Linked DNA regions of Caenorhabditis elegans. The protein of the gene in region 2 purifies or fractionates together with the protein of the main gene of each other region. This does not show direct contact. Each region holds a gene or a part of one and is shown on either strand. Other genes may lie near its edges.

Region 1 (7,883 bases), on a different chromosome or scaffold from region 2:
GTCACACACACAAGGAATGAGGAATCTTTAGAGCAACCGGGCAAAATAAAAAACACCAAAAAAATGAAGAAAAAATATTCTAATTATTTCTTAGAATTCGCTTCAAAAAAGCTCCTCGTCTTTCGAATAATCTCGCCAAATCCCAACTTGACTTGAGTGCGATCTCCAATCCACGTGGACAACTTTCTCCGAGTGGACTCCTTTGCGTAGCGGTCGTCGAAGAGATAGACGGCCGCGTAGTCTCGGCGGTGACGGATTGCTCGACCGATGGCTTGATTCACGGCGTGCATGCATAGAGATTCGTAGAGCAGGTTTCCACCGTTCGGCATTTGAGTGTCGAGGAACTGAAAAAAACATTTTGAAATTTTGAGTTATTGGGGGGAGGGTGGCCCTTTTGTGTTCTTGCGTGGTGGCCTAGGATCCGAGTAAAGTGTGGCCTACAATTTCCAAGGATTTAGCTCAATAGGTGGCCTAGAATTTGATTCACGTGATGGCCTAGATTCTGATTTCGTGGTCTAGAACTGTAGTCATTTGATGGCCTATGATTTGAGTGAAGTAGTGGCCTAGAGTTATAGTGATATGGTGGCCTAGAAATTCTGTAATGGGGTGGTCTAGAATTTCTTAATCTAGTGGGTGGCCTCGATATATAGTAATGGGTGGCCTAAAATTATAGTGATATGGTGGCCTAGAATTTAAAAATCAACTGGTGGTCTAAAATTCGCTGACCAAGGATTCCTGTAAATTGGTCTAGGATTTCCATTTTAGAAAAATTACGCTAAATCTGCTTTTCCATATTTTTAGAGTCCATCACTATTACCTTCATCCGTTCCCTCAACTCGACGCTGGTCTTATTCGGATACGGTAATCCGATAACAATGACCGCCCGTCCGAGCTCATCACAAAAATTTATTCCCTCGCTCATTTTACCGCCGACGACAGCAAATAGAATGGCTCCTTTCGATGTTTTTGCAGCTCGGCTGAATCGGTCCCAGACGTCTGATGTTGGTTGCCGGCTTTCTGTGAATACGGCCTTCTTTTCCTGAAAAAAAACAAAGACAATGCAAATGTGCTCTAGCGTACTTTTTGGATATTTATTGAGATTTGATGCAAAATTTGAATTTTTTCTTATTTTCGTTTTAACAAAAATATATTATTCTACGGTAAAATCCCAGGAAGGGTCTCGAAACGAAAACTACCTCGATCCGCTTCAAAATCCCAAATTCCTTCATCTTTTTCTGGAAATTGAACAAAAAGTCGTATGACGGCACAAAGATCACAACTCCATTCGGAATATGCGGAATCAGGGCCTGAATTGACGTGGCCAACGATCTCAACGTGGTATCGGCGCCACGTGTCTGATATGTGAGTTGGAATGGTTTTCCGTCGACAGTTCGTTCTACGGTTACCGCGAGCAGCTGGGAATCATCAATGACGTGGCAACACGAAAAACGACGGATTGAGTCGGCGCCGATCGATCCACGGGATAGGGTCTCCACGAGAAGCTGAGCTGGCTCCATTGTGCCACCGACGAGGATTGTGGCTCGGGCGGAAGTGACCACTTCGGAAAGACGATCCGCCGGATTTAGGAGCATGAATCGGAATCTGGAAGTTGAAAAGTTTTCGGATTTTCTGGAAAAAAAAATCGGTGGCCGAATTTTACTCAAATAAAATTAGCTGGCCGAACTTTCAGTATTAAAAAGCAGTGGCCGAGTTCTGCCCGAATAAAACTAGTGGCCTAGTTTTCACATTTTGGTAACGGAGTCAGTGGCCGAACTTTTCCTATTCTGAAAAAATTGGTGGCCGAAGTTTACTCAACATAAATATGCTTGCCTAGTTTTTTATGAGAAAAACTATTGATGACCGATTTTTCCAATGTGAGAAAAATAGTCTCAATAAATATCAGCACACTTTTGCGGGGAAGTCGATTTTCAAAAAAAAAAAGCAAAACCCAAAACTCGGCCACCGATTTGTTTTTCACGGTCACGTTCAAAAATCGTTGCTATCATACTTTGCTTCGGTGGCCGACTTTTCCACAATAATTCGGCCATCTTCGCATTTGTTGGTTAATGCGTCGATGAACGATTTCAGCGAAAAAAGTGGAGAAGGAACGGGTTTTGGCGGTGGAAGAGGCTCAGCTTCTGGCTCAGGCTCCGCTTCTTTTGCAGCCATGAGTTTCTGGATTCCGGTTAGTTTTGGCTTCTCATTTTCTTTCTTGATTTCCTGGAAAAGTTATTGGATTCTAGGTTTTAGGCTTCGGAATTTTCACGGTAAATCAATTTTTCCTGGATCTTCATTTTCAATTTTAATGGCTTTTTTTGAATACTTTTTAGAAAAAAATTATTGTAATACTTTAAAAAAATGATAGGTAATTCAAATTTTTATGAAAAAATTGATATTTTTCGTAAAAAATGAAAATTTCAGTTTGAATTTATGATACGTTTTAATTTTTTTTGAAAATTTGTTTCTGTTTCTGAGGTATTTTTCTTAATTTTTTAAAGTGAATTTTTCGATTTTTGGAATTAATTACTTCTTTCTGTAATCTCATGTAAAATCCATGAAATTTCTTGCACAAATCCGTCTTCTCCATATATTCGGCCAATTTGAACAGATTAATTTCTAGAATATTCAAATTTCGTGCCAACTGAGCCATCGTCATCACATCTTCTTTTGATTGGCTATTTAAGAAAATGAGCATTTTGCTGGTGAGTGATTCCAGTTGTTTCATGTAAAGTAGGTTATGAGCCAGAAGCTTCAGCTTGTAGTGAGCATTGTATTCTCGAATTAGACGCAGTGCGAGGGTTAGGGATTTCGTGGAAATTTCAGCAGAGTAGAGGGAACCTGAAAAAAATTCCTTTAAAATTGGAAATTTCCGGGAGGTTTTTTTTTTAAAAAAAAGGTTTGGAAATTTTTTTAAAGTGATTTTCAGGGAATTATTTAGGAAACAATTTAATTGAAAAATAACGATTTTTTAAATTGGAAAATAGTTTTTTCAGTGATTTTTAGAAATTTTTGTATATTGAAAAATTGTTTTTTTTTTGAAAATTTTTTGAATAAAATTAGCGATTTTCTGAAAAAAAAATATTTTGAAAATTGTGATTTTTTGAATTTTTTAAATTGAAAAATGTGCTTTTTTGAAATAAAATTTTTTTTTATTGAAAAGCAGATTTTTTTTTCGTTTTTTTTTTTTTGAAAAAAAAAAGAAAAATAGTGATTTCCGTATTTTTAAAAACTAAAAATTGAAATTATTCGTTTTTTGGAATAAATAAGGATTTTATTTCAATGTTTTTGAAATTTTTTTTGAAAAAAAAAACGTTTTTCAAGTCGAGTTCTGTAAAAAAAGTTAAATTTGAAAAAGATTTAATTCATTTAAAAAATTAATGAAAAACATTTATTTTTAGTTGAAAAGTAGAGTTTTTTGAATTTTTTTGAAATTTTTTGAACAAAAAACATTAAATGAAAAACTGTGATTTTTGTAAACATATAATTAAAAAATATGAAGAAAAAATTTTTGGAAGAAAATTGAAAAAAATTAAATTTTGATTATTTTTAAATTTGAAAAAAATTATTCTAACAATTTTTGAAGCCATTTTTCGAAACTTTTTCCAATTTCCGAAAAAAAAACGAACTAATAGTATTCAACACATTATGTGCCTCGTCGAGTACAATAACATTATCCTTTAATTCAATTCCCCATGCTTTTCGTGTTCCATCATGAAGCAAAACTTGATATGGAAGAAGAACAAGTTGACACTGTGGAACAGATTTTCTTGTAGCAAAATATGGGCATCCATTGGAAAGTTTTCCCTGTTTTGACACTTCAAGTGTACTTTTCAATTTGTTCGAGAGGACTCCATTCACTACATCTTCGATTTGTGTGGAATTGTAGAATTCGCATGAAGTCGCACAGGTTTTTGTCTTTTTCGTGGTTCCTTTCTCCAATTTCTGAACTTTTTCCTTTTCCGACATTCCGTTTTTTCGCAATTCCATACATTTTTCATTGATTAAATGATTTAATTTCAACTTTTTGACTTCTTCATTTACACATAATGTTCCTCGTGAGGCACATGTAACTATTCTGGGTTGAAATCTAGTTTTTGCGAGCTCCTCGGCAAGTTGCTCCAATTGAGAATGTGTTCGTGATGCGTAGAAAATCTGGAAAATTCAGAAAATTTCAAGACAGTTTGAATAAAAAATTATTGATTTTTCAGTTTTCAATTAAAAAAATTTTAATGCAGTTTTGAAAATTTACAAAAAAACCAAATTTTCATTTAAAAAAATTTGTTCGGTAAATTGAAAATTCTCCGACTTAATTTCGATTATTTTTTTCAGACAACTTTCATTAAAAAAAAAAAAGACGTATTACGGTAACACGAAACTCTGAGAATGCGTATTGGGCAACATATTTGACGCGCAAAATATCTCAAAGCGAAAACTACAGTAATCCTCTAAATTGCTGTTGTAGCTCCTGTGTCGATTTACAAAAACCTTTTATTTATTGATTTTTAAAAACGAAAAATTAAAGAAAATTGAGAGCCGTTGTAACTTTTTGAAAAGAAATTAATTTCAAAAATATTGCCCGTAAATCGACACAAGCGCTACAGTAGTCATCCAAAGGATTACTGTAGTTTTCGCGTCGGAATATTTTGCGCGTCAAATATGTTGCCCAATACGCATTCTAAGAATTTTTTGTTCCTGTAATAATATGACAGCTATATGCGACTTTTGAGATGAAAGTGCAATCGCGCTCCATAGCCAAATAAAAAATAAAAACGCTCTGCCCCCGAAACATGGGTCTCGTTAGGTATTGGCGGTAAAACCCAAGATTTTCCAATTTTTAATGATATACAGTTACTGTCACAAAAATGCTTGAAAAAGTTTGAATTGCACTTTCATTTGGCTATGGAGCGCGATTGCACTTTCCGAAATATTGAAATAAATTCTGTACTTTCAGACATTTCAGTGGCTTCTCCTCTTCTTCATCGACATCATCGAAAAAATCGGAATCCCGCTGTTTCTCACTTTTCTCGTCGTTATTGTATTCTTCCGATGGGGCGGCTTCCTGGAAATTTTATTTTGAATTTTGATATTTCTGTATTATTTCTATAATAGAAACTTCTAGAATAACATTTTCTTGAAAACCTGGCATATTCAATTTATGAAACTTCAAATTTGTAGCGACTACTGTGGCTGGGATCGTGGCGAGACCCACTCAGAAAACAGCGTGCGCCTTTAAAGTGAGGCATCAAGTGTCTATTCTATGTATTACTATGTAACTATTCTATTGTGTATCTATTCATATTGTGGAATCTATTCTATATCTATCTTGCTATATAATACTGTTAACATTTTTTCACATTTCTCAAAAAATTAGCAATACTGAAGGTTTGTATTTAAAAATTTGGAATTTTTGCGTATTTCAAGGTTTTTCCAGAAAAAAAAAGCCAGGTTCTAGTCAGAAATCTTGAAATTTTCCGAAAAAACGGTCAGCCACATGTGAATTTCCGGATAAAAGTTCAATTATTACATCTTGAGGTTCGAGAAACTGATCCGTATCCCTGGCCGGGGCTTTTCTCTTTCTGGAGACCTCGACCATTCCTCGCCGGGCTTGATCGATTCGTGACTGCAATCTGAATGATTTTTTTCATTTAAAAAAAAATTAAAAAAGAATAATTATTCAATTTCCAACACCTTTCCCGACTCTGAATTTGCTCCAAAATCTCCGTCTCTACGTCTTGAGCTCGCATTTTCTCACGAACTGCCGTCTCCCAATTGTCGGCGGTGGTGATTTTATCGCATTCCGTGATTTTCGTGTGAACCTCCCCGAGCCGTGTGCTCAAATCAGTCGAAATTCGTAGTTCTTCAGCTTCCAGCCACGTCATCGTCGAGCACAACACGCTGAGCGACTTTCCGGTGCCTGTTGGAGATTCGAAAATGCCAATTTTCCGTTGTTCAATGCATTGGCGGATTTCTCGCATCAAATTGAGTTGAATGTCGTATGGTTGAAATGGAAATGAGAATTCGTCCATTCTGCTGGGATAGAGTGAGAGATCATTTATTTCGGTGAGTTTTTTTTTTGTAATTGAAGAATAATATATAAGAAGATAAAAATATATTCGGGATTTTCAACTGGGAATTCGATTTTTAGCTGAGAGTTTAGAGAGCGGAAAAATTCATGAAACATTCACAATAAGTCAAATAGGACCCAAAGCGATTTTCACGCCAAAAATACGGTGCCTGGTCTCGCAACGAAACATGTTTGTTAAACGCGAAAATTTGTGCGCCTTTAAAGAGTACTGTAGCTTCAAACTTTTGCTATTGCGGATTTTCGTCGATTTTTCGTAGATCACAATCAAAACCCAAAAAAACTTTAACAAATGCTGGGAAAAACTATGAAAACCTGATAAAAATCGTTAAAGGCGCACACTTTTTCGCATTTATCATACATTTTTCTCTTCGAGACCGGATACCGTACTTTTGGCGCAAAATTTCGCGTATGGGTAATAACGGCAAGGGAATTTTGCAAATTTACAGCAAATTTAGACGAATTTCGTGGTAATTAGCTTTAAAAAAAATACAAAAATCCCACATGTAATTTCAAATTAAAATAAGATACAGATACAACGATTAAAAAATGCTTGGATGCTGCTCAATTCGATCAATAGTTTTTTGATAGGCCTCCATAAGCCGATCATAATTCTGTGAGAGCGTCGAGAACTTGGTTTCCTCATCCATTTGTCCACAGGCCGCTTGTCGAAGCTCATCGGGTGTCAACGCGAGATTCAGACGCTTCCAGTCCTGATCCGATTTCTTCATTGGTGCATACAACCGACGTTTCACATCGATTCTCTGCGCTTTCAGCTCTTCTTTATCCTTCTTATTTGTAGCACGATAACGCAAAATTTCATAGACTCGACGGGCTTGTTGTCTGGAAATCTTGAGCTTTTCCAGTGCGGCCTGACGCATTTTGTCCGAGTATCCCCTCTTGAGATTCTCCGGTGCAAATTCCCGCAGTGTCATGCAGTTGACACAATCCACATAGTCACGGAGGCTGACGAACTGATCTCCGGGAGACTCGACGGTTACGTCGAAAACTTCTGGAGAGGCACGAAGATCTCGCAGGAAAGATTCCATGAAACTGGCTCCAATTCCAGATTTTCTGTATTGAGGGAGCAATAGCATCTGTGCAATTCGTGGACGGATCCTGTCAATGTAGTTGTAGAATTTGAAGAGTGTCGCGTAGCCAGCCACGTTGGCCACAGTACTTCCATCTCCTTCACCGGTGTCGCAGCGTTCGTAGCTGGAAAATTGAAAAATATTTGAAATGCGTTCGATTTTTTGTAATTTCTGGAATTCGCCGCGAAATCTTCTCAACTTACATAAAATAGTGAAGCCAATTGTCTTCAGTGTTATCTGTCAGTGAGCAGCACTCGATGAAGCTGAAAAAAAAATTTTGTAGGAAAATCCTTATTTTTTAAGCACTCACAACATGCCGAGAGTCTGGATTCTTTCTAGGAAAAGGTTGAACTCTTCGGTTTGCTCGGCGACTTTGTAGACCTCGTAGCTCTTTCCTTTCAGCTCAAACTTGTGTACCATCTCACCGAAAGGCTTGAAATCCTTCTGTTTGATGAGCTTCTGCTGGAATTCTTCTTTTCCCGAAACCAGAACATTCGGACGAACGTCTGGATGAACCAGCTTATCAATGACGTCATCGGCCTCCAGTCCGTTTTCGTTTTTCGCTTTTGAGGAATAGCTCACGTTTATGTAGCTGTAGAGGGTTTGAGCTGTGTGATGGATGGTAACCTCGAGATCTTCGTAGCCGAAGATTGTCTCCTCATCTCCGAAATGCTGATAGACCATCTCTGGTTCGTAGCGTGGCGCAGTAC
Region 2 (5,612 bases):
CAATTTTTAATGAACTCTAGTTCTACTAGTACCACACTTTTATATCATTTTGTGCCATTATTCTTAAGTATATATTGGTTTTTTTTTTCAGGTTTTTTCAAAACGTGTTTATTTTATGGGTTTGAGGCTACTAAAACATCATACAATAAAAAAGTTTTTAGAATGAAACGTTATGGGAGATATTTTTCAAAAAAATTATTTTTGGAATGCGCTTGAAATTCTTCAAGTTTCCACAGAAATGCTTTCCAAACTTTCTATATTCATCAAAGTTCTCCTCGTGGGGGAGGAGCATACCGACACAGAGAAGATAGCAATACGCGGAACTCGCAATAAGTCGGCTGCTTCACTTAAATGCTAGTCGGCAAGTGTATAGTTTTCTACCCGTGATGAAGAAATTAGATCCAACTCCCAGGCCAGTTGATACGTCTTCTGGTTCATGCAGATAAAGGCGAACGAACGGGTTTTGATAATTTTGGAAACCAATTAGCAACGATTGTAAACTTATTTATTATATAGAGGTCGGAAAGAAAAAATCATTATATGGCAGTTTCAGCTATTCTTCGGTATTTGACGAACTCGTTGTTGTGCTGATTGTCGATGAGCAGAGACAGGTTTTACGACACCATAAAAATTGTGTTGCTTGATTTGTATCACAGAATCCTGCAGATTTCCAAGCACCACATTTCATGGGGAACTCGTCGACTGCAGTTGCACAATCAACACCTGATTCTCCTGATTTGGAAGACTTTTGAAGTTTCTTCAAATCTTGACCAGCTGGAATTAATAAGTTTTGAATATTTAGTTCTTGGTAATTTACCATGTAATTCATCAAGAATCTGCCCTCGATTTCTCTTACCCTGATCGATTTTCTCTTTCGACGTAAGGAAGTCTAAACTCAAATGATTTTTTCTTCCTTTCTTTCCTTTTTTGCTCTTCTTCTTTCCTTTTCTTTTGTTATTTTTCTTTGATTTTTTCTTCTTTTTCTTTTGTTTTTTCTCTTCCGAGTAATCATCTCCATCTTCATTTTCTTCGTAGTTCTCCCGTTCTTGCTTACAATCCATACTCTCAAAGTTATGATAATCATCCTGAAATGATTTTTTGAAAAAATAAAACTGTATTTAATTTTAAAATGATAGAGAATGCTATCTCAAGGGCAACACATTTTATTCACCAGAAGTAAAATTTTGCGATTTTTGTGGCAAAACTACGGTACCTGGTCTCAACACGACAATTTTGTTTTGAGTTCAATATGGTGTGCGTCTTTAAAGATTACTGTAATTTTGAATTCTTGTTTCTGCGGAATTTTCAACGAGCTTTCATAGTTTTTCGATCGAAAATATTCATTTATTTGAAATTTTTGAACGCGACTAACTGCACACCTTTTCTCACTTAACCCAAATTTGTCATGTCAAGACTGTGTACCGTAACTGTGGGATGAAAATCGCAAAATTCAGGTTGGGGATAAAATGTTGTATGATTTTTTTCTAAACCTTTTGGAGCAGTTTTACGGGCTCCAAAATAGTAAATAATGCTCTAAAAATATCGGATCAATTTCTATTTCTAAATCTAAGTGCTCGAATTGAACACATTTTTTGAAAGAGGTTTTGAAATTGAACGTACTCCTATTTTTCCGGGATAATACGGGTATGATGGAGGCATTGTGGTTGTTGTAGTAACTGTTGGAAACGTGTAGCCATATGCATCTGGATGGGGATATGGTACTTGATCGGGTGGAATATTATAGTTCTGTGGAAGTGGTTGTGGTGGTTGATAATGTTCTCTTTGTGGTGGTGGACAATTGATTTTCTTCCTTTTTTGTTTCTTTTTATATCCATTCTCTTCATTATTTCCATCATCATCTTCATCATTATCGTCTTCCTCTTCATCTTCATTATTCTTTTTTCGACCATTCTTTCTTCCTTTCTTTTTCTTCCTTGAATTCTCATCATCCTCATTATCATCTTCTTCCTCTTCATCTTCATCTTCATAATCTTCTTCATGATCATCTGTATTTCCATCAATTGCTTTTGGTATTTTTACAATTCCATCAACTCTTTCCAAATCTCCATTATCCTCATCATCGTCCTCATCTTCATCTTCATCATCATCCTTATTCTTCTTTTTTCCTTTTTTCCCTTTCTTTCCCTTCTTTCCTTTTTTGTGATCATCTTCGTCATCGTCATTTTTCTTTCCTTTTTTCTTTTTTGATTTTGACTTTTTACCATGCTTCGCACCGTCATCATCCTCATCTTCATCCTCATCAGTCTTATCTTGACCGGTTGTTTTTCCTTTTCCTTCTGTTCTTATTCTCTGCAATAATATTCGTGAACCATCCCAAATTTACAATAACTCACATGAATACCACCACCCTTTTTCAGTTCTGCCAAATCGATTTCACCAGCTTTTGTACCTTCACCGTCACCACCGCCTGCTCCAGGTTGCACTTTAGTGCCCTGGAATACATGAAGTGGAAGTTATGGATTTTACATAGTAAAACGAGTTTGAATCTTAAAGCTATGGCAGTTATGGGGGACGTTCCCTCTAGCCTCTCTCATTTTTTGATACATTTCCCCTAAACGGAAGTGGAATCCCCAAAACTTAAGCAAAAATATGTGATTTGAGAAAAAATTTTCATATTGAACAAAAGTTTCCAAAACTGCTTAAAATTTTAATACACTTACTTCACCATCCGATGAAGCAAATAACCCTCCTCCATCTCTTCCAGAACGTGTTTTCGTTGTTACTTTAACACCTTCCGAATTTTCAGTTCCTTCTAAATCTGGTGCATCGTGACGGGTACCTTCTGTGTCGGGTGCACCATGTTTTGTTCCTTCTGAGTCAACCACCGCATGCCTTGTGCCCTCATCTCCAGCAACAAATCCCCCGCCGCCATCACCATTTTCTACAAGATCCTCGTGTTTTCTGTAACAATTGAAGTATGGTATAAAAACACTTTTTCACTTACCCCATTGGCACACGGACGGGCGCCTGAGGAGTTGGAGGTCGTCTGCCTCGGCCACCAGTAGGTCGTCTGTAATATGGAATATCCCGTTTAGAATTCCTCTGAAACTGGAAACAAACCTTCCTCGGTGCCTTGGTGGAGGAGGAGTGGTTTGTTCATCATAATCCACTCCATGATCATGATCGCTGTGAGCTGGATCGCTGAATCTTAAGAAATATTTCAAAAACAATCCAATTTACTAACTTTCCAGTAGCTAAAAAAGTTGCAGCAGAGGTATGAGAAGGAAAGAAAATGTAACTTTCTTACACTCTTATAAATTAGCCAAACATTAAAAAATGGCGATGCTTAGCAGACAATACACATTGAACTCACTTTTGATTCCAAGGAGCTTTATCGTGTCCTCCATGTCGTGGTCGGTGCCTACCTCGTACCCATGGAGGAGTTGTTGTTTTGATTTTTGGATCTTTTGTAGTTGTCGAATATCCACGCAATCTAGCAGAAGGCAACTGATCCCATATCTTGAAGTTTCCTTCCGATTGATGCTTTACGTTGTGTACCAATGAATTTACTGCTGCTAATGGCATACCTTCAGCTCTTGCATACATATGTTGATAGAATGGATCCTGGTCTCGTGGATCTTGTGTGAGAACTGAAACAATTATTTGGAATTTATGAACACTTAAAAACAATTATTGACTACTACTGTAATTCAACTTTAATTAAAACATGAAGAACTGAGTTGTTTGCGCGAAGCAGGCGAAGGTTGCCTTTTAACGTTCTGTATTTATAATTAAATGATTAAGTGCTTTTAAATTAACATTATGGATAAAAACGCTTAAAAACTCACCAATATTTCCAACATTTGACATATCTTCCAGCTGACTTCTAACTCTAGTGAGACCGGAAATAATTGTTAAAATAATCAACCATTTTTGAAAATTAATTTGATTTTTCATCACTGATAGAATATATTCCGAAACGCGGAAATCAGTTCATCTGGTAACAATTAAGAGGGTGGATTTGTCTGAAAACCGTTTCACTTTTTCAAGAAAAAAAGTAGTCGAGAAAATGAGGGAAAACTGATGATTTTTCGTCAAGAACAGAGTTAAAGAATGTAGACAAAGTTACTAGTAAATGTCAAAAGTGGGTCTCAATTTGGAACCCGTTCAATCCATTATTAGACCATTAGTCAGCGGGGAGAGATGTATGTGTGAAACCGAACACAACAAAATACAAAAGAGGAAGGAAGAAGTAGAATTGAGACAAGTTATTATTTGGAATACAAGACTTGCAAAAAAAGCACTCATCGTTTGCTTGTTCATCTAATTACTCTAATGTATTACTTACTTTTTTGTGTGGGGATTTAGATTTAAATGTGACATTTTACAGAGGTTAAGTTTCTCCCTATTATATGTCAAATGTAATATTTACTTGTCTGAATTTTTTAAACAAGAATTGGGGTGTTCTGGAATTATCAGTGAAGTTCATCATTTCAGGTAATACATTTACCCATAATAACCACATTTTTTACTTAATTATCTGTCAGCTGACGACCTCATCAGGAAGTCTAATCAGATAAACTTCTCAAAACATGATACATAATCTTTAATCTATCGAATTTTGATTGAAGATGATAAGCACTTTACTATTTTAAATATTTTCTGTACTTCAAATTTTACTATTTATTTTTGAAAGGAAAGGATCAAGTGACTTTTTAAATAACAAGTTTTGAAAAATAACATTCGAAACTAATTTTTCAAATTATTGAAAACAACAACCACTAAAAAAACTGATTACTTCTTAAAAGTTGTATTTTTGATAGTGAAGTACGTGTATTCTTTGAAAAATACTTTTCGATATGCCACCCAATAATTTCAAAAAAATTATTTTTAAAAAAGCAAGATATTGGAATTTCTTTTCCAAAAATTAGTAACACAGTATGAAGTTCCGGATTTCAAAGATTACTTACTGTTCAACAGTAGACAGCTGTAGAATATACATAACATTTCTGAAAAAAATTATTCAAAAATTTGCGGAAATGTTTGGTTTTAAATGAAACCAGGTTAATCCCACCAAATTTTTATACCTTTCAAAAGTTGTTATGTGAAAACATTCAAGTTGCAAGTCCAAAAATAATCAAGAGTGCACCACCTACCCTAACTGTTTTGCAAAAAAATTTCATATTACCTCTAAATTATTCAGATCGTATTTTTCGTCTTGCACGTAATTGTTCCTTGTCCATCTTTTTCTAATTTAGCCTAATGGGGTAGAAATTCGTAGTTTCCAAGTTTTTTCGTACCCATTTTACAATGGCTGACATCATTTTTGTTTTTTTCTTATCAAAGGGGAATTCTAAATGTACTGTAGGTGCTTCGACGGCAAGACACACTTTTTGACTTTTAGACATTTAATGACACAATTAGATACGACATTGAAAATCTGATTCTTGAGATGTTATAATTGTTAAGTGAATAAATAGGCATGGGCTTCGGAAACCAGTTATCAAATAAGAGAAATTAATCTGAAACCTGAAAAGCTACAATGGAAGCCCAACTTCTAAGGGGTTTCAGAGGCTTCAGATATTTTTTTTATTTTATGATAAACTAGTGTTGAAATAGGATTCAGTATATCAACAAATGTTGGCTGTTCA

What was found. Proteins that work in one complex are often made in the same cells at the same time.
Region 1: the proteins of C17G10.6 (region 2) and chl-1 fractionate together in Caenorhabditis elegans (co-fractionation; one large-scale study listed by BioGRID). This does not show direct contact.

The regions. Positions count from the first base shown.
Region 1 is NC_003281.10:10,399,211-10,407,093, forward strand, and holds the start of chl-1 (ATP-dependent DNA helicase chl-1), read right to left. Parts: upstream 6,031-7,883; 5' UTR 6,027-6,030; coding exon 5,689-6,026; intron 5,628-5,688; coding exon 5,525-5,627; intron 5,060-5,524; coding exon 4,946-5,059; intron 4,153-4,945; coding exon 3,627-4,152; intron 2,839-3,626; coding exon 2,528-2,838; intron 2,221-2,527; coding exon 2,009-2,220; intron 1,603-2,008; coding exon 1,197-1,602; intron 1,040-1,196; coding exon 818-1,039; intron 345-817; coding exon 84-344; 3' UTR 1-83. Other genes in the region: hat-1 (Histone acetyltransferase type B catalytic subunit), read right to left, coding at 6,625-7,297, 7,377-7,436, 7,484-7,883. UniProt on the Caenorhabditis elegans protein: Required for normal cell proliferation and chromosome stability. Plays a role in DNA repair during replication.
Region 2 is NC_003280.10:5,599,377-5,604,988, forward strand, and holds C17G10.6 (ShKT domain-containing protein), read right to left. Parts: upstream 3,919-5,612; coding exon 3,810-3,918; intron 3,612-3,809; coding exon 3,335-3,611; intron 3,163-3,334; coding exon 3,082-3,162; intron 3,032-3,081; coding exon 2,966-3,031; intron 2,923-2,965; coding exon 2,682-2,922; intron 2,454-2,681; coding exon 2,355-2,453; intron 2,311-2,354; coding exon 1,621-2,310; coding exon of another isoform or gene 1,567-1,620; intron 1,130-1,566; exon of another isoform or gene 1,086-1,129; coding exon 818-1,085; exon of another isoform or gene 775-817; coding exon 554-774; 3' UTR 532-553; downstream 1-531.